Macaca mulatta: one gene and its partners. The protein of the gene in region 2 interacts with the protein of the main gene of each other region in a pairwise test. Links are inferred from orthologs where the notes say so. Each region holds a gene or a part of one and is shown on either strand. Other genes may lie near its edges.

The links.
Region 1: the proteins of ACY3 (region 2) and PLEKHF2 interact in binary tests that used the Homo sapiens proteins (3 or more experiments, as listed by UniProt). The two-hybrid records come from large-scale screens. The link is inferred for Macaca mulatta from reciprocal best matches to the Homo sapiens genes ACY3 and PLEKHF2.
Region 3: the proteins of ACY3 (region 2) and PMM2 interact in binary tests that used the Homo sapiens proteins (3 or more experiments, as listed by UniProt). The two-hybrid records come from large-scale screens. The link is inferred for Macaca mulatta from reciprocal best matches to the Homo sapiens genes ACY3 and PMM2.

Annotation. Positions count from the first base shown.
Region 1 is NC_133413.1:105,549,963-105,553,462, forward strand, and holds the end of PLEKHF2 (pleckstrin homology domain-containing family F member 2), read left to right. Parts: intron 1-367; 5' UTR 368-381; coding exon 382-1,131; 3' UTR 1,132-3,029; downstream 3,030-3,500. UniProt on the Homo sapiens protein: May play a role in early endosome fusion upstream of RAB5, hence regulating receptor trafficking and fluid-phase transport. Enhances cellular sensitivity to TNF-induced apoptosis.
Region 2 is NC_133419.1:6,738,208-6,741,076, forward strand, and holds the end of ACY3 (N-acyl-aromatic-L-amino acid amidohydrolase (carboxylate-forming)), read left to right. Parts: intron 1-74; coding exon 75-184; intron 185-1,987; coding exon 1,988-2,203; 3' UTR 2,204-2,369; downstream 2,370-2,869. UniProt on the Homo sapiens protein: Plays an important role in deacetylating mercapturic acids in kidney proximal tubules. Also acts on N-acetyl-aromatic amino acids.
Region 3 is NC_133425.1:10,037,952-10,041,451, reverse strand, and holds part of PMM2 (phosphomannomutase 2), read right to left. Parts: intron 2,947-3,500; coding exon 2,847-2,946; intron 2,389-2,846; coding exon 2,313-2,388; intron 1,046-2,312; coding exon 930-1,045; intron 1-929. UniProt on the Homo sapiens protein: Involved in the synthesis of the GDP-mannose and dolichol-phosphate-mannose required for a number of critical mannosyl transfer reactions.

The DNA.
Region 1 (3,500 bases), on a different chromosome or scaffold from region 2:
AATATTTTGTTCTCTATTGTTCAGAATCCCATTGAGATTACATTTCATTGAACATTATTTTGCAGAGATAAGTTATGTTAATTATTCAATCATCTTTCAATTATGTCTGTAGGAAGTTTATACTTTTACAAATACCTGCTTAACTAGTGTGGTGCTACATGGAGATGACAAATAAGTGTTTTTGATGATTTTAAAAATTGAGAAATGTTAGCCCTTTTGATGTGCTTAGTGATTATCTTAGAGGGAAAGAATTTTAGAACATTTTGCCTTTGTGTAGAAGCAATGATTTGTTAGCTTAAATTTATATATAATTATAGGAATTTATAATTTATATGTGCTAATTTCTTTTTCTTTTTTTTTTTTAAAGGCTATTAGTGAAAGATGGTGGATCGCTTGGCAAACAGTGAAGCAAATACTAGACGTATAAGCATAGTGGAAAACTGTTTCGGAGCAGCTGGTCAACCTTTAACTATACCTGGACGAGTTCTTATTGGAGAAGGAGTATTGACTAAGTTGTGCAGAAAAAAACCCAAAGCAAGGCAGTTTTTCTTATTTAATGATATTCTTGTATATGGCAATATTGTCATCCAGAAGAAAAAATATAACAAACAACATATTATTCCCCTGGAAAATGTCACTATTGATTCCATCAAAGATGAGGGAGACTTAAGGAATGGATGGCTAATCAAGACACCAACTAAATCTTTTGCAGTTTATGCTGCCACTGCTACGGAGAAATCAGAATGGATGAATCACATAAATAAATGTGTTACTGATTTACTCTCCAAAAGTGGGAAGACACCCAGTAATGAACATGCTGCTGTCTGGGTTCCTGACTCTGAGGCAACTGTATGTATGCGTTGTCAGAAAGCAAAGTTCACACCTGTTAATCGTCGCCACCATTGCCGCAAATGTGGTTTTGTTGTCTGTGGGCCCTGCTCTGAAAAGAGATTTCTTCTTCCCAGCCAGTCCTCTAAGCCTGTGCGGATTTGTGACTTCTGCTATGACCTGCTTTCTACTGGGGACATGGCCACATGCCAACCTGCTAGATCAGACTCTTATAGTCAGTCATTGAAGTCTCCTTTAAATGATATGTCTGATGATGATGATGATGATGACAGCAGTGACTAAGGACACATTTGGGAGTATTTAATCAGGTGTGGCTATCTGAGAAATCAGCTTTGGGGGAAATGTAAGATTCTGGGCTCTCTGTTTTGTTCTAGCCATGAATTTGCCTGAGAAACTTGTAACCTATGTGCCTCAATATATTCCATAGAAAGTAGGTCCCCTGCCTTCTCCCACTCCTCGCACTCTTCTACAGGGATAGACTTTTGCGAATATATCAGATACATTTTTTATTTCTTATTCTTGTTTATTTTTAGGTTATTTTCTCGGAAGGTTGGGAAAAGATGTTTGTTGAACAGATCATGTACTACTGTGTTGTTTTCATTTCTGTTACAGGTAAAACTAAAAGCACAGAATGGTGGGAAAGGGGTTATAATGTGGTTCATTAATATGTTAGTAGCTTTTTTCTAACCATCGTGTCTAATGGTTAAAACACCAGTAACAAAAACACATGATTTGGAAATACTTTGTTTGGCTTTTTCATATACCTAGTGGTGCCTTATCATAATAGCACTGTTACATGAAATAAGCCCCCTACCTTCTTACTTTCTGGTTTTCGAAAAAATACACTGGTGCTCTTTGAAGTGATAAAGTGAGTGTTTATGAATGGGTGTAATTAGGAAATACTTCTCATCCGACAGCTACAAATAACTAAGTTTGGAGGTATTTTCACTCTATATGAATAAATATTTTTCCATAAAATAGTTGTGATTATATATTTGTTTTACATAGGTCCCAAATTATAATTGTCAAATATATATTTTAAATTAATAATAGGTTGTCATTCTTAGGAATTTGGTTTGAAATTTATCAGTTACATAGAATTATACTGCATTAGCTTCCACCTTTAGTAAGACATATTTTTAGATATAAATTCATCTGCTTTAACATTATTTCTGGATTGAAAATCTTATAAAACCCTTGAAAATAAACAATCTCTTTTTTACAAAGCCTGTGTTAGAGCACAGGTTTACCTAGGCTTGAAGATTTGGAAGAAATAATGTGTAAGGATGGTCTCAAGGCAGACCACTTTAAGTCTGGCTAGACTTCATATCGTGGAAGTATTATCTATTTCAGTGTGAAACTATCTTGAATTTGCAAATATAGTGTTATATTTTATAAAGTTTTGTAAAATCCCAAACAATATTTCTATTTTTGTAAAACAATTGTATGTGTAATCTGTATCTGAAATCAGTTTGCAATCTATGGAAATAGAGTAGCAATTGCTATTTCTAAATTGTGAACTGAAAGTCAATCTAGATTTATTTGAGAAGTAATTGCTCACTCTTTACTTTTGAGGCAGCCATTAGGTTGAAAGTATATATTTATCATATAAAACTTGATGTGTTTTGCACTACTCTCTCCATTTATATGCTGCAAACAGCTACAGTCTTTGAAATATGGAAAATCAGCAGTCTAAAGTTTGTTTTAAATTCTAAATAAAAAAAAATCTTCAAATCTGAATATACTGCAAATGTCATGAGAAGTTTGATTCAGTAATTTGTGATGGAGGATTCTTTGGTATCTTACTGTTTAGTTAGGGCACTAATTTTACTTACCTATTAGATTTTGAAAGCATCTGAGATATACAAATCTCCCTGTAGGAAATGTGAAAGAAAAGCACAACAAAACTAGGGTTTTCTGTTCGTTTGCTTGCTTTTATGGTTTTTTTTTTTTGGTTTGTTTTAATATCAGGTGGATTTTTGTTTGTAAGCAATATATACATATAATCAACCAACATATCTGAAAAGGATCATGAAACCTGAGAAATGCTAATGGAGACTTGCTGGTACATAGGAATCTAGCAAATTCAGGAACCAAGGGGAAATGTTCTGAGATAACATTTACATTGTCAACCTTTATTGACTTTGTTTTTACAATAAAAAATATTTTACAACTTACTTTCTGTTCTCCGTATATTGTGACTTGAGGATTTCCCCCCTTTGCTAAGATAATAAACATATTATGCATATTTTGCCTAATAATTCAACAGCTGTGAGTTCCTGCTGTGTGCCAGGCATTGTTCTAGGCAGTAGGTTAGAGCAGTGAACAAAACTCCCCTTTGGATTTACTGCATGAAGGCTCAGAAAACAAACATTCTTCCAAATGCTGAAGATATGGCTTAATGTTATGGGGAAGTGCCTTAATATAATTTGGCTTTGCTGTCTAATTACTGTTAGAAGGAATGACTTGACCTGAATTGACATGTCTCAGAAGGAAACAGACACGTGGCTGACAGGTATGTGAAGAAATGTCCAAGATCACTAATCATCAGGGAAATGCAAATTAAAACCACAATGAGATAATAATACCTGACACCTGTTGAATGGCTGTTATCAAAAAGTTGAAAGAAGCGTTGGCAAGGAGATGCAGAA
Region 2 (2,869 bases):
AGGTTCCCCCACAGCCCACTCCGTCCCCTAGCCTGGAGAGAGGGATGAGCTCACAAGCCCAGCCTCCCACACAGGTACGGCCTTTCCCGCCTTTGAGATGGAAGCCTATAGACCCGTGGGCGTCATGGACTTCCCTCGCACTGATGCCGGGAACCTGGCAGGCACTGTGCATCCTCAGCTGCAGGTGGGTGTGTGTGTGGTGGGGGGGTGATTGCTGGGGCCACAGCCTTGGGGAGGAGGGTTGTCAAGGAAAACTGAGCCCCAGAGGGTGCAGCCAAGCCTCCCATGAGCTCACCAGCATCTCAGGTTGAGGAGCAGGATGGGAGGCTGGGCTCCACCGTCCCACTTCCCCTGGCCCCGCTGCCTTCCCTGGAACCCCACACTCAGGCCTAACACAAGAGGCCACAGTGATCCCCATAGCTCCTGTGGAGGGCATGATGGAGACAACCTTACCCTGGCCATAAAAGGCAGAGGGAGGGGACATGGAGCAGGCATGACTCAATTCACCTGCTTGGAGGTACAAATACAAAACTGTCTTCTGATTTTCAGTTGAGAGCATCCCCATGCCTGTTGGCAGGTCGTCCAAGTCTCTCTCTCTGCAGGCCTTCCCTTCTGGAATGTTCCAGGATTGGGCAATCCTGCTTTCACACCTTTCTCTTGGGTGCCTGGGGAGAACCCACTGGCTGCTGCTCTGCTTGCTGCCACACGGGTCATTTTTGAATAGGGTCTGGTGCAGTTTTGTGGCCTTTTGTGCCCTGAAGTTTCATTTTGAGGAGTTACTTTCTTACAAATGGAGGCAGCACCGTCCTGTCCGTGTTTAGGGCTAGGCAGTCTTAGTTCAGCCGTGCCCAGCTACCTTGCAGATGTTAAGTAGTAACGGTCAATTTGGGTGGCCCCTCCTACAATTCTAAAATTTATTTTATTTATTATTTATTATTATTATTTTTTGAGACAGAATCTTGCTTCATCGCCCAGGCTGGAGTGCAGTGGTGCAATCTTAACTCACTGTGACCTCTGCCTCCCGAGTTCAAGCAGTTCTCCTGCCTTAGCCTCCTGAGTAGCTGGGATTACAGGCACTCGCCACGACACCCAGCTAATTTTTGTATTTTTAGTACAGACAGGGTTTCACCATGTTGGCCAGGCTGGTCTCGAACTCCTGACCTCAAGTGATCTGCCCGTCTCGGCCTCCCAAAGTGCTGAGATTACAGGCATGAGCCATTGTGCCCGGCCTTAAAATTTATTTATTTATTTGAGACAGAGCCTTGCTCTGTTGCCCAGGCTGGAGTGCAGTTGCATAATATTGGCTCACCATAACCTCCGCCTCCCAAGTTCAAGCGATTCTCCTGCCTCAGCCTCCCGAGTAGCTAGGATTACAGGCGCCCACCACCACACCTAGCTAATTTTTGTATTTTCAGTAGAGATGAAGTTTCACCATGTTGGCCAGGCTGGTCTTGAACTCCTGACCTTATGATCCACCAGCCTTGGCCTCCCAAAGTGCTGGGATTACAAGCGTGAGCCACTGTGCCCAGCCAAATTTTATTTAATAAAGAATCATATTGTACTTACTGTGTGCCAGACATGCTGTAAGCACTATTAGCCTGTTTAGTTTAAACTTCAGAATGATAGGAGGAGATACTGTAATCCTTATTTTACAGACAAGAAAGCTGAGGAACAGAGGTTAAGTGACTTGCTCACAGTCACACCGTTAGCAAGGATTTGAACTCCAGCTTCAATACCTGTGCCCATGTCCATGAGGGTCCACTTCCACATGGGCACATGCCTCCCCACGGTGACTTGTGCCTTCATTTCTAGACACAGAGCAGACTGGCATCTCACCAGACCTGCTGTCTCACGGATTGAGGAAGTGAAGCATGGGTGGGAAAGGCCACAAATGAGGGGCATCTTTTGGGTGCCAAGCTGGGGTCACCTCCCTCTGGGGCCAGGGCAGAGGTGGCTCCAGCAATCTTGGACTTGGCTCTCCTCCCAGGACCGAGACTTCCAGCCGCTGCAGCCCGGTGCTCCCATCTTCCAAATGTTCAGTGGGGAGGACCTGCTCTATGATGGGGAGTCCACGGTGTACCCCGTGTTCATTAATGAGGCTGCCTACTATGAGAAGGGCATTGCCTTTGTCCAGACTGAGAAGTTCACATTCACCGTGCCTGCCATGCCTGTGCTGAACCCTGCCCCGAGCCCAGCTTCCTAACCCAAGCCACACCTCCCCAACTTCAGTCTTCCCATCTGAACAATGGGTCCTGAGGCATAGCTCTGAGCACAGAGGTCCCTTTTGCCACCTACCATGTACCATGTTCCTTGCCAGGCCCCCCAGCCCCTGGCCTCAGTTTCCCATTCTATAAAATGGAAGATGTCCAGAGGTCCATGGTTTGTGTCCTCTGTCCTGCACAGCTCCTGTCTGGCTGGCACAGTGGATGGAGGAAGGGAGGTTGACCACAGGATCTGGGGGAGGTCTGGCCAGTGCAGCCTTGGATGCACAAGTGTCTTGGGGCCAGTGGTGGCTGCCTCTGTGCCCACAACTGTCCATCCATGCCCAGAGGAGGATCCCAGAGTGTAGGAGGAGAACCTGGAGAAGAATTTTGCTCTGGATCCAGCAGAGGGGCTTTCGGAGGAAGCCACAACCCAGAGGGGGACCCCCCAACCCTCCTACAGTCCTGGGGCCAGAGGGTGAGTGTGGGGAGTGCAGAGCCGGGCCCATGTCTGTGCACACGTGTGTGTTTGTCCATGCATAGCGCCTGCCCCGTGTGCTCTTTGGCGTGCGTGTCTGTGCGTTTCCCACACACACGTGTTTCCAAGAGCCTCAGTTGCTTGGGCGTTCTAAGGGGATCTCTATGTGGCCAGATGTGCATTTCCAAGT
Region 3 (3,500 bases), on a different chromosome or scaffold from region 2:
GATCACTTGAGCCCAGAAGTTTGAGACCAGCCTGGCCAATGTGGTGAAACCCCATCTCTACTAAAAATACAAAAATTAGCTGGGCATGGTGGCGCATGCCCATAATATCAGCTACTCAGGAGGCTGAGGCACAAGGATTGCTTGAACCTGGGAGGCAGAGGTTGCGGTGAGCCAAGATTGCACCACTGCACTCCAGGCTGGGCAACAGAGCGAGACTTGGTCTCAAAAAAATAAAAATAAAAATAAAGAGGAGAAAGAAAAGGAGCTGGCCCAAAGCTGGGTGGAGGACGCCTGGGGACAATTCTTCTGTGTATTCCTCCTGCTGGCCCTGGCCTGTAACACGGGCTCTGCTCTCAGTTCTCAGTTTAGATTTGGTGGTCCTGGACTTGAGATTTCTGACATCCCTTCGGGGCAGCTCCAAGTACCCACCATGTGTGATGCCTGGGACTCACTTGGCCTCTTCACCGTCGCTGGTGCCCTTTCCTGAGTTTCAGGCTCATGAGATCATTCCCTGTCCTCCCATCAAACATGACCCCTCGTGTTCAACTTAGAATGAATGCCTCAGGGGGACAAATACAGTGGAAAGGTAAGATTGAAACAGGCAGAGCTTTGAAACGCACAGGGCTTGACAGTGGCACTGGGGACTGGCGTTCTGGAAGGCACATGGGGTGGCCAACGTTTAATTCCAAAGCCAAACTGAAAAGGATCAACTAACACGCAGTGTGATCCTCGCCTCTACAGAGGTGTCGCGGGTTTGAGCTCAGAGGGGAAGGAGGCTCAATCACGCCCCTCTCCAGGACAGAAGCCACTGCTCAGTTTGAGCAGGGCCTGTGGGTAAAGTGTAGATACAGGAAAAACAGCCCCGTTGTCAATTCTCCCCCTCAAGCTCAAACGCAACAATGAAGCTGCACAAACACTTCTCTACTTACTGGCATGGTTTTGTCTCCAAAGAAATAAATGGTCTTATAACCGTCATTTTCCACATGTCGCAGGCAATACCTCTTGTCCCATCCATCAGGAAAGACATCAAAGCTGATCTGGCCTCCTGCCGGGTGGGGATGGGGCACATACAAGCAAAAGGTGAAAAAGGGGCTAATGATATGTCACTGAAAAAAAAACAATTTACTCTTTGTCAGTTAGTGGGGTGCCAAGGTTGATTTTCAGTACTCTAGTTTGCTACTTAGACTATTGCATGGATAGGTTCTAGAAATTAATTCTACATCATGTTTTCTGTTCCAGCATTATTTCACGTAGGTCTAAAATTGAGGCACAGAATGCCAACTCAGAGTGAGAAATGCATTTGCATTTAAGCGCCCTGTCAAGCATGTGGTTTAAAGGAAGCATGCTTATGAAAACTCATTCTGCTGTGCTCGTCTCGGGCTTTAACACACCCTCAGTGGAAAATGCCTGGAAGCAGGCCGCATCCAGCATATTTGCAGGAAAAATGAGAATCCTCACTGAAGGTGATTTATAGGCAGCGCTCGTGGGCAACAAGAAACCTTTCAAAGCTTTGTCAGAAAGATGTCCATCTCACAGTTCAGGAATACAAAAAACCCACCCACTCATCTGTTAAATATAATCCCTTTGCCATTCCAGTTTTCCTACAACCTCTACCTTTATGAAAGCTAGTACAATGAGGAGGCTTTGAGCAATGACTCATTAGCCCTGACAAGAGAAATCGGTGTGCAAAGCATTTGACAGGCATACTCTAACAAAAGACAAGCCGGAGACATCCATGCTGCAGGAAGAACTCTGCATTGGACACCAGAAGTGTTCACACACTGGCTGTGTAAACAACAGCTTTGTGAACTCGGACAAGTCTCTTCTCCTTTTTGGGCCTCAGTTTCTTAATCTGTAAAAGCCACCCAATTGGCTCCTAAGGTTCCCGCTGTTGAAACATTGTATGATTCCAAGACGTCGGTCTCGTTTACCTAAGGGGTTCAATTCCATGTCTCCCTTACGGAGTTCACTATAGCGCTTCTCTTCCGCCCAAAGGTGTGAGAAGTTCCTACTCATTAGTAATTGAAGTGCTCCTCTTCTGACGAGAGAAGTGCAGGTAGGAAGAATCCTGTTGTGTAAGAATTTAGAAGCAAGCCCAACAGTCTGGAAGCTGTTTCTTGACTAGGCAAGTCCTATTATGGCTAACTATGCAGAAAAGAGAGTGGCCGCTTTTTGTCTACAGACTGGACTGCTCATTTAATCTTCCTGCCCACCTAAAACTGCACATACTCCATTATCAATAGCTCACTGGCCCACAACAAATTCCAGGAAATGGGGATCCAAGTTTGTAACACAAACAATATATACAATACCTATGGAAAACGTGAGGCCTTTTCCTGCAAACTCTTTCCGTAGATCTGCTACAAACTTTTGTCTTATATTTTCCTTCTGAGAAAAAAAAAAAAAGATGCCAATTGTCTCTTGTATTGCAGTTTAGAAAGCACACTTTTAACTACTAGCCACCAAGGTATGAATATCTTATTTATTTATTTGTTTAGTTTTTGAGATGGGGGTCTCACTCTGTTGCCCAGGCTGGAGTGCAGTGGCATGATCACAGCTCACAGCAGCTTCAACCTCCCAGGCTCGAGTGATCCTCTCACCTCAGCCAAACAAATAGCCGGAACCACAGGTGTGTGCCACCATGCCCGGCTAATTTTTTTTTTTTATTATTTGTAGAGATGAGGTCTCACTATGTTGCCCAGGCTGGTCTTGAACTCCTGGGCTCAAGTGATCCTCCTGCCTTGGCCTCCCAAAGTGTTAGGATTACAGGCATGAACCACCACACGGGGCCATATCTTATTTCCATAAACCCAGCCATTCACCAAAGATATTTCAGAAAGACTTACTTTATCGAGTTCATAGAACTCAATGCGTTCTTCTTGGCTGCAGCTTCTTCCAATTGGCGACACGTTTAACATCCCATTCCGGAATTCAATGAAAGTACCCCTGGGAATGAAAGAGTGACAGAGGTTCCCCAAAACACATTATTTATTTGGGAAACATCATAAACAGCCTAAAATCTTGGGAAATTCTAAAAAGCAGAGGCCAGTGTGGTCAATGTTTCTCAGCTCTGTGCTGTGTAATACGGTAGCCATGAACTACTGTGACTAATGAGACCTGAAATGTGGCTAACATGAATTGAGATTAGATTTGAAAGACTTAGTATGAAAAAGGAATGGAGTCACATCAGTCATGTTGTATACTGACTTTGTGTCAAAATGGTCATATTTTGAGCCTGGATGACACGGCGAAACTCTGTCTCTACAAAAAATACAAAAATCAGCCAGGCATGGTGATGCGTGCCTATAATCCCGCTACTCAGGAGGCTGAGGCAGGAGGATTCCATGAGCCTGGGAGGTAGGGGTTGTAGTGAGCTGAGATCACATCACTGCACTCCAGTCTGGGTGACAGAGTGAGACCCTGTCTCAAAAAAAAAAAAAAAAAAAGGGTCATATTTTAGATATATCAGGCATCTCACCTTTTCCTTTTCATTCTTTCAA